2 linked regions of the Oryzias latipes genome follow. The main gene of each other region encodes a partner of the protein of the gene in region 2 in a complex. Links are inferred from orthologs where the notes say so. Each region holds a gene or a part of one and is shown on either strand. Other genes may lie near its edges.

Region 1 (3,923 bases), on a different chromosome or scaffold from region 2:
TGATGAAAATTACAGGCCTCTCTCAACTTTTTAAGTGGGAGAACCTGAACAATTGGTGGCTGACTAAATACTTTTTTGTCATGACTCTCTAAAAGGTTTGCAATCATTTCTTTACATTGACATTGAGTCTTCTTTTTTTACCTCATGGCTTCTCCGACATTCTTGTTCTCTTTGACAGAAGCCTCCATCCAGGTGAAGAAGCCGTTAGCTCCGCTAAACTGATCAATAGTGTCTGCCGACACGGCCCGCTCAGCCAGGTCACACTGTAGCAGCAAAGGACAGTAACTTACAGAGAATCTCTCAGCATTCACTGCAACAAGACCCTTTTGCGATTCATGTTTAATAAGTTGATATCACTGTCAGAAGCTGTCGTGTCTTCTCTTGTTTTGGTTTGCTCTTGTGTTTAAAGTGTGCCAATACAAGATTGGCAAAAACAATCATGAGACCAATTTTTTCTTTTTGGTGAAAGGAAAAACAGATCCGCTCATGTTCTGGTAAACTGATAATACAGTCATGGTTTGTCAGGTTAGGTTTACACCATTGACTGTATATGAGAACTGGACTGAGTGACCCCTCTTCCCTTGTGTTCCAAACAGGAAATTTCCTGCTGGTTGGAAGTAGCTAAAAATCCCGCAGTCTTCTATAGAGAAAAAAACAGCTATTACTCTGAATATCATTCAATTTGTTTGAATAACCATTCTTACTCTAGCCTTTTTAACATGTTGTTGATAATGCTAATTTTAATTCACAATATTTGTTTTCTTCTGTACTGCAAGTTTTTCAAGTTATAAACTTGCCATCAGATGCCTCAATAAAAGTATGTGGTCTCATATCCAGAGCTTACTTTCAAGTGGTAGGGGTGTGGCCTTCCAACAAGCTCACTCCTGATTGGCGAGAGTAGTTCATGGGTGACATCACACTCACTCAGTCAGTTCGATTCTCCATATGATTATACACAGTAAATACAAACACTACAATAACATGCTGAAACAAAAACATCTGCTGCTGCAAAAACCTTTGTTTCAAATAATAAAAATACACACTTTTGTTTTTGCACAGACATGCCTAGACTTTTTTTTCTACACATGATCTCAGATTGTTTCTCTCCAGTTTTTTAAACAAGACCTCTATTCCATTTGTCACTGTTCCAACTCCCTTTTGTTTTTCAGTGATAAGTAGGTCTATTTCAGTCTCATTGACTGTGCTCTTTCAATTGTCGTCAACCGAGTGACGGCGGGTGTCTTGACTTATACAGCTGCCGTAACGAAACAAGAACCTTTTTTTGGAGCCATTTAGAATTTTAAAAACCTTCCATGTGAAGCCCATCAGCAATCAGCTGCAGTCACATGTGTATTGGTTGTGTAGCAGCCTGTTCATTATACTGATGTATCATGAAGTATTATGACTGAATGACCTTGTTGGCCAGCAGGAGACAGGGGATTGTGTCTCCGTTCGGCAGCATGGCCTTGTGGTCCAGGTCCTGTTTCCAGAGGCGACAGCTTAGGAAACTGGATGAGCTGCTGATGTCAAACATCACAATGCAGCCCACTGCACCTTTATAATAGATTCTGGTCATGGATATGAAGCGTTCTTGGCCTGAAAGGAGGACACACAGTTCACTGTTGCATCCATAACCAATAACAGCAAAGGTTGGTTTGGAAATCACTTTGTACCTGCTATGTCCCAAAGTTGCAGCCTGACTTTTTCTTCATCGGACCAGTGCAGCAGTTTAACAGCAAAATCCACTAGAAGTGTGTTTGAAAAAACACAAACAGAGAACACAATGAAGGGAAAAAAGTGTTTTTTCCTTCCACTGCAGCCATCCTTTAGTGAGTGTGACACATAACGTCTGGCCTCTAGTTGATTATGAACCAGCGTTTAGCCTCTGTTACGGATTACAGCTACTGCATAAACATGCCTAAAGCCGTCTGTAGTCTCTGCTCCCTGTCAGCTTTACACAAATACTGTCAGTACCCATGTGACCACAACCTGCATGTTGACCACAGTGGGCGCTGATCTCAACCTGAACCACACAGGTGGCTGTGTTTGAGTCATAAAAGAAGTCAGTGACTCAAGGTGAAACCAGCCAGTCAGCTTAAAAAGCCTGACAGCGCTCGTCTTACAGTGTGGACAAAGAAAACACACCTTTCTACGCATATTTTAGGTAAACTGGAGTATTTTATTTTATTCAAGGAAATAAAAAAACTGCTACACACAATATGTTCTGACTAAACAAGACAAATATATATACAAATATATATTTAAATAAAGGTAGATTGCACAGCGGATTTATTATTCTGACAATTTGACCTGGAAGTAGAGCTTCCTCTCTTGTGAATACCAGTATAAAGTAACAAGAGCACATATGTATAGTTCTAGAAGATATGAACGTACCTCCTACAGTCATCTTGTATGTTCTGTTGAAATTTCCACTGATGTAACGGTTTACAAAGGAAGATTTTCCAACATTTCCATCACCAACAATCAGTATTTTCAGCAGGTGCTCTGTCATCGTTCGTCTTCTCTCTGTCACATGATCATGATCAAGTTAGTCGTGAAGTTCCCAGCAGCTCAAAGTTCAAACCGGAAATCTGCTTTATGAGGCAAACATGCAATGTTTTATTTCAGCATTTAACTGCAAGAGTACGAGACAATATAAAAGAAGAAAATGAGGATCTTTTACAGAACTCAAACAGAGACTTTAACCCTTGTGCTATCTTAGATGACCTCACCCTTGCATTGACGTGTTCTCCCTACCATGACAAAGGTGGATAAAGGTGGAAAGATTTCATGTAATCCATGGACAGCAGTGAGGTTGACAAATCATTGAAGAAAAAAGGTTCAGCGCACTGTCTAGTGGGTCTAGATGACCCAACTCCCAATGTTAAAGTGCCTAGGATGGCACAAGGGTTACACAAAGCTTTTGAAAAAACTGAAAATAGTACAAATGGCCGTAGTTTCCGTCTCTCCACTCTGTCTGTCACTCTGACATCCGGGGTTTTGGTTGTCAGAACCCCGGATGGGTTCCATTGGAGGAACTTGGTGCACTTAGACATCTGAACATGGTCAAGCTACCTTTTGGATGTTTAAACCAGGTTTAGAAGGTGAATAAAGGGGATGTAATAGTTTCTTTTTCAATGGTTTATGATGCCAGCGTACGTGTTGGTTCTGATCTTTAAAAGAACACAGACAACACTTTTTGAATGCAGTAGAATAAAGCGTCCACTTCCCAATCTCAAATTAAATGCAAACCACTGGGGGCTGGTGTCACAGGGAAGTCATTTCCTATCAAATCTCATTTTAAAATTCAAGTTTTAAGGCAAAGATAAACCCATTTCTAGCCTAGTGACAGACACTTTTATGTTAATTTCCATCCATCCATTTTCGTTACCTGCTGAATCCCTTTTTTAATCCCTATTTTTTTTCAATCAGTTGTTTTGTTTTAGGGAATGTAAGTAGTCCTACATATTACACATAGGAAGACAGCATGAGTTACAATTTATAAGATGTGTTCCATTTGGTTATAATTAATAATAAATCTTTCCCCACAAAAATGAAACGGAAACAAAGAAACCATGCAGACTAAACCATGAGGTTTGTCCACTAGGTTTGTAAACTAGGCCACTGTCATCGACTGCTGGACATGTTTCAGTCGCATGCTGAGTCATGTACATGACTCTCTTCTCTGCGTTTTTTCCTGTTTGTTTTATCGTGACTTGGCCACTTTTCTTGCAGCAGATAAAAATGTTCAGGATTTAAAAATAACTTCTGGTCTAAGCACGTTTATAATGATTTTCCAAATGATCTTGTATCATAAATATTCTACCGGAGTAGTTTAGACCTTTTTGGATGGAAGTGTGTGATAGGGAAAAAACACATCACCAGCCAGGACCGCAGCTAAGAGGACACTGACATTTCATCAG
Region 2 (3,829 bases):
ATTGGTTAATTTTCATTATACCATGGTCCGGGTGAATACCCGATTCTGATTGGCTGCTGGGTGTGCATTAAAACCTGATAACCGCACGGTGAAAGAAGAAGTTCCGGTCACCTAGTTTAAATGTTTTGTATCACTGCTCTGGCTTCTTCAAAACAACCTTTTGCTTCATCATTTGGACAAAAACAAGTGGTAAGAGGTGAACTTTCTCTCTGAACTGATGCTTCATTCAACCCATTGGAAAGATCAGCATATATATATCGCCGAATCTTGACTGCAGCGGTGGTCCATCACGTAACAAATAGTCCGCTTTTTGTGAGAAAAGTGATCCAAATTGGAAAAAAAACAAGAATTAAGGACTAAAAAACTGGTTCAAATGTATAGATTTTGTAAGTGACCATGGTATAAGCGGGTTAATGGCCTTGGAAGTGTGCGGTTATTACTTTTTAACGCACTTCGCGTCGGACGGTTCAGGCTTCCACGGCGTGCGTTAAAAAGTAATAACGCACACTTCGTCGGCCATTAACCCTTACTTATTACTTTTCTCAGATTCAAATTTCTTTGACCATCGAGCTTTTCTTTCAATAACGGAAGGGTAACAAAAATGTTGTCCACGTGTGCATCAGAACCCCACTCTGAGAGCTTAGACTGGTTGTGGATACCAGCTGATTTAAAAACTCCTGTTGATTTGATGGGGAAAGGCCTTGCATTACCTGCTGGACTCTCCTGCTGCTGATGTATGTGGACAGCACAACCATAAGAGGTGTGTGCACTTCTTTGTCTTTAAACAGTTCAGCTGCTGCAATAAAACAAAAGAAAGCTTGGATGAGAGAGCAGGACCTGACGAGGAGGAGGTAACATCGTGGAGGCAAATTCAGTCCAATCCATCACAAGTAAAGAACCCACAACGTAGTTTTTGGATCAAAAATGAAAAATGAAAAATTTACTGCCAATTCTGGAATGAACTTTGTTTGAAATTAAAAGTTTAAAGGATGTGGAAGTAAGTAAAATGTCTGTTTATTGGTCCCTGTTGTTGTTTAAATAAAAACATTAAAAATGAACATTTTCCTCTGCCATGTTTCTTATGATGGAAGACATGTATAAAGAAAATAAATTCAAACTGCATTTCTGAGTATTTCATGATTTGGTCATCAACTAAAGTCCCACTCTGATCCTCTTTTGATCTATTTTCAAAGCGTACTGAGTGGCCTTTTATTTATAATTATGCTGTTTTTAGCTCAATTCAAAATATTTGTCATAATCTAGGACATGGTTCCTGCAGAGCAGCAGGATTTCATTCTAAATTTGCTTCTGAGTTATGGGTGGGACCGTTGCAGAGCAACCCCCTCTTCCCATTGCCCATCTGTTCACAGTCTCTCCCACTAGCCTACAGACCCTCACAACCCCAATCGATGTAACCAAAAGGCGAGCAACATCGCCCGGCAATATGCAGCCGTACAGTTTTGATCCGGATTCCAGTCCAGTTTGAGAAATCAAAGTCATACGTGGATCTATTCGTCTGCAAGTGGATGCATCAGAATGGAGCAGAGCAGGAAGCGTGTGCCCCCCCCCCCCCCCCCCCCCCCCCCCCAGTTTATTACATCTACATCACTATTTTACAAACAGCATTTTGTCATCTACTCCCAATTTACAAAAATTTGAACCCAAAAATACTCAAAAATATATGTCCTCCGTCATGAGAAAAAAAAAATGCCACAAGAACACCAAAACCATCGGATGTACGACTCTAAAATTCAGATGGAGACATTTGAAGGCAGACTCAATTCTAGTCGTTCTACATGCAGCTGTTATCTGCATGAAAGCCTGTGTTTTAGGGGAACTTTTCTGAGTCAAAACGAAGGTATCAGCAGGACCTCTGGCTGGAGAGCATTTCTGTTTTTTGGGTGTCGGCTTGATCTGAAACTGGCAGGTTGAGAGATGAACTAAAAAGACACATGTTTTGCCGGCATGCCCTTGAGCATCACAGGTTCAGAATGGGGGGTTGGATGTCCTTCAGGTGGTTCCGGGGCACGATGTCTGCTCACACGGGAGAGCAGAGTTGACCCTGTCGGAGGTACTAACCCTCAGACATGGATTCATTGGAGTTAAAGCAGTCCTGCTTTGTTTTTGTCCACTCATGGCAGTGGCATTGTGCCGTTACCATGGAAATGGAGTTTCAACAGGGATAAAGTCATTTTAAAAATGACCATTATTATTGAAATTATTGTAGGGGGAATATTTTCCAAATAGATTTCATAATAAAAGTACATCTAAGATCATAAACCCAAATAAAAAAAAACATCATGCAGACTTTTCAGGGACATTCAAGTCTTTGCTAAACAAACTATTTGAAATATTCTGTAAATGGGAGGCTAAGACGTTGATGTTTGTTTGTTTGTTTTCGTTTGGTGGTGTTGGGGGGGGGGGGGGGGGTGGTTCCTACCGGAGTCCTCGAGCGCCAAGGAGAGCAGATCCTGGATGATCTGGATCAGCGTGGACATCAGCCTGTCCTCCTGAGGAGACTTCAGCCTCACCAGAAGTTTCCTCAGCCGTTCTTCTAATTCCTCCTGGTCGACCATGCTCCTGAAAGTCTCCCGGTACTAGTGCATTGGTCGAGGTCAGTCGGTCGGTGTTTCCCGGAGAACAAGACGAACGAAGAAGAGCTCGCGCTCACCGCGCCGTAGACGTTAGCTAAGCTGCTCCATGTTCCTGCAGCGACAGTGAGCCGAGCCGAGCCGGGCGGGGACGCGGTCCCTGAGTAACTCAGTGAGTTCCGGCCCTGACCTCATCCTCGAACCACTTTCTCTGAGAGAAGAACGTGTTCCTCCTTCTTGCGGCCTCGGAGAATCCGAAAAGACCGCGGTTCCTCTCTCTTCACAGGCGAGTTCCTGTTTCCACGCACTTCAATCATATGACTCGAGTCTGAAAAACACTTCCCGTTTACACAGGAGACTCACTGGCAGCTGTCCCACTGACTGACCCGGTCCGTTCCGGTCCGCCCTCCTCACGACGCCTGACAGCTTCGCTCACGTCCGCTCATCGTTTGACTTCATGACAGTCGGTAACGTAAAATGGTCAATTTAACAAAGAAAACTCAATAAAAAGACTTTACACTGACGATGCCGTTTCTTTTCTTATTGTTATTTTAGGCCAATTAAAAACCATCACCCTTCTTCCTGACAGTAATCCCTCCTCTGCTGAACAGATGCTAGATTTATTAAAGAAGTCTCCGTTTTCTTTTCGTTACCTGAAAGAGTAAACTTTTATTGTATTGCGCACTTACGCCCGGATTTACGGTAGTGTTGTATGGACCGTCAGTGGTCCAGTAAAGAAAAAAAACTATGCAGGTCCCAATGTGGAAATAAATTCATTTAGTCTTATACCAAAATTAAAAATCGCATTTTACAAATATGTTTTACGACAGAGTATTAGGGCCACAATAATAATAAGAAGAAATAGCCTAAAGAAATAGACGAGAATAAAGTCATAACTGTATTAGAAAAATATCAAAATTTTGATTGTAAAGTTGTAAAAAAAAGAGACAAGCGAAAAAGTTAAGACAATAGTCACAAAACCACAAGAAAGAAAGTAAAATATGATGAAAATGGTCGTAGAATTACATGAAAAAATTAAAAATGTAACAAAAATAAAGTAATGCACTTATGAGAAAAAAGTCAATATTTTGCTAAAAGAAAGCTGTCAATTTATTAGAAAAAGGGCTAAGCTTCATGAGCATATAAAGCCCTGCTTTTAAAACGAAAAAAGACAACATTTTATGAAAATAAAGTTGTGCAATAAAGTAATGAAATTAGAAGCGAAAGTCACCATTTTA

The links.
Region 1: the proteins of lrrk2 (region 2) and ras-related protein Rab-7L1 are in contact, whole or in part, in a cryo-EM structure (PDB 8FO2), measured with the Homo sapiens proteins. The link is inferred for Oryzias latipes from reciprocal best matches to the Homo sapiens genes LRRK2 and RAB29. Residues at the interface, in NP_940980.4 of Homo sapiens: Arg361, Lys362, Arg399, Met402, Leu403, Leu406, Met407, His408, Leu437, Ser438, Lys439, Gly440, His442, Leu443, Asn444, Glu447; in NP_001129134.1 of Homo sapiens: Leu7, Val42, Asp43, Phe44, Ala45, Leu46, Arg58, Gln60, Trp62, Leu76, Tyr77.

The regions. Positions count from the first base shown.
Region 1 is NC_019865.2:28,347,956-28,351,878, reverse strand, and holds the start of ras-related protein Rab-7L1, read right to left. Parts: upstream 2,631-3,923; 5' UTR 2,513-2,630; coding exon 2,395-2,512; intron 1,746-2,394; coding exon 1,674-1,745; intron 1,597-1,673; coding exon 1,415-1,596; intron 264-1,414; coding exon 142-263; intron 1-141. UniProt on the Homo sapiens protein: The small GTPases Rab are key regulators in vesicle trafficking. Essential for maintaining the integrity of the endosome-trans-Golgi network structure.
Region 2 is NC_019864.2:2,194,816-2,198,644, forward strand, and holds the start of lrrk2 (leucine-rich repeat serine/threonine-protein kinase 2), read right to left. Parts: upstream 2,907-3,829; 5' UTR 2,577-2,906; coding exon 2,441-2,576; intron 797-2,440; coding exon 711-796; intron 1-710. UniProt on the Homo sapiens protein: Serine/threonine-protein kinase which phosphorylates a broad range of proteins involved in multiple processes such as neuronal plasticity, innate immunity, autophagy, and vesicle trafficking.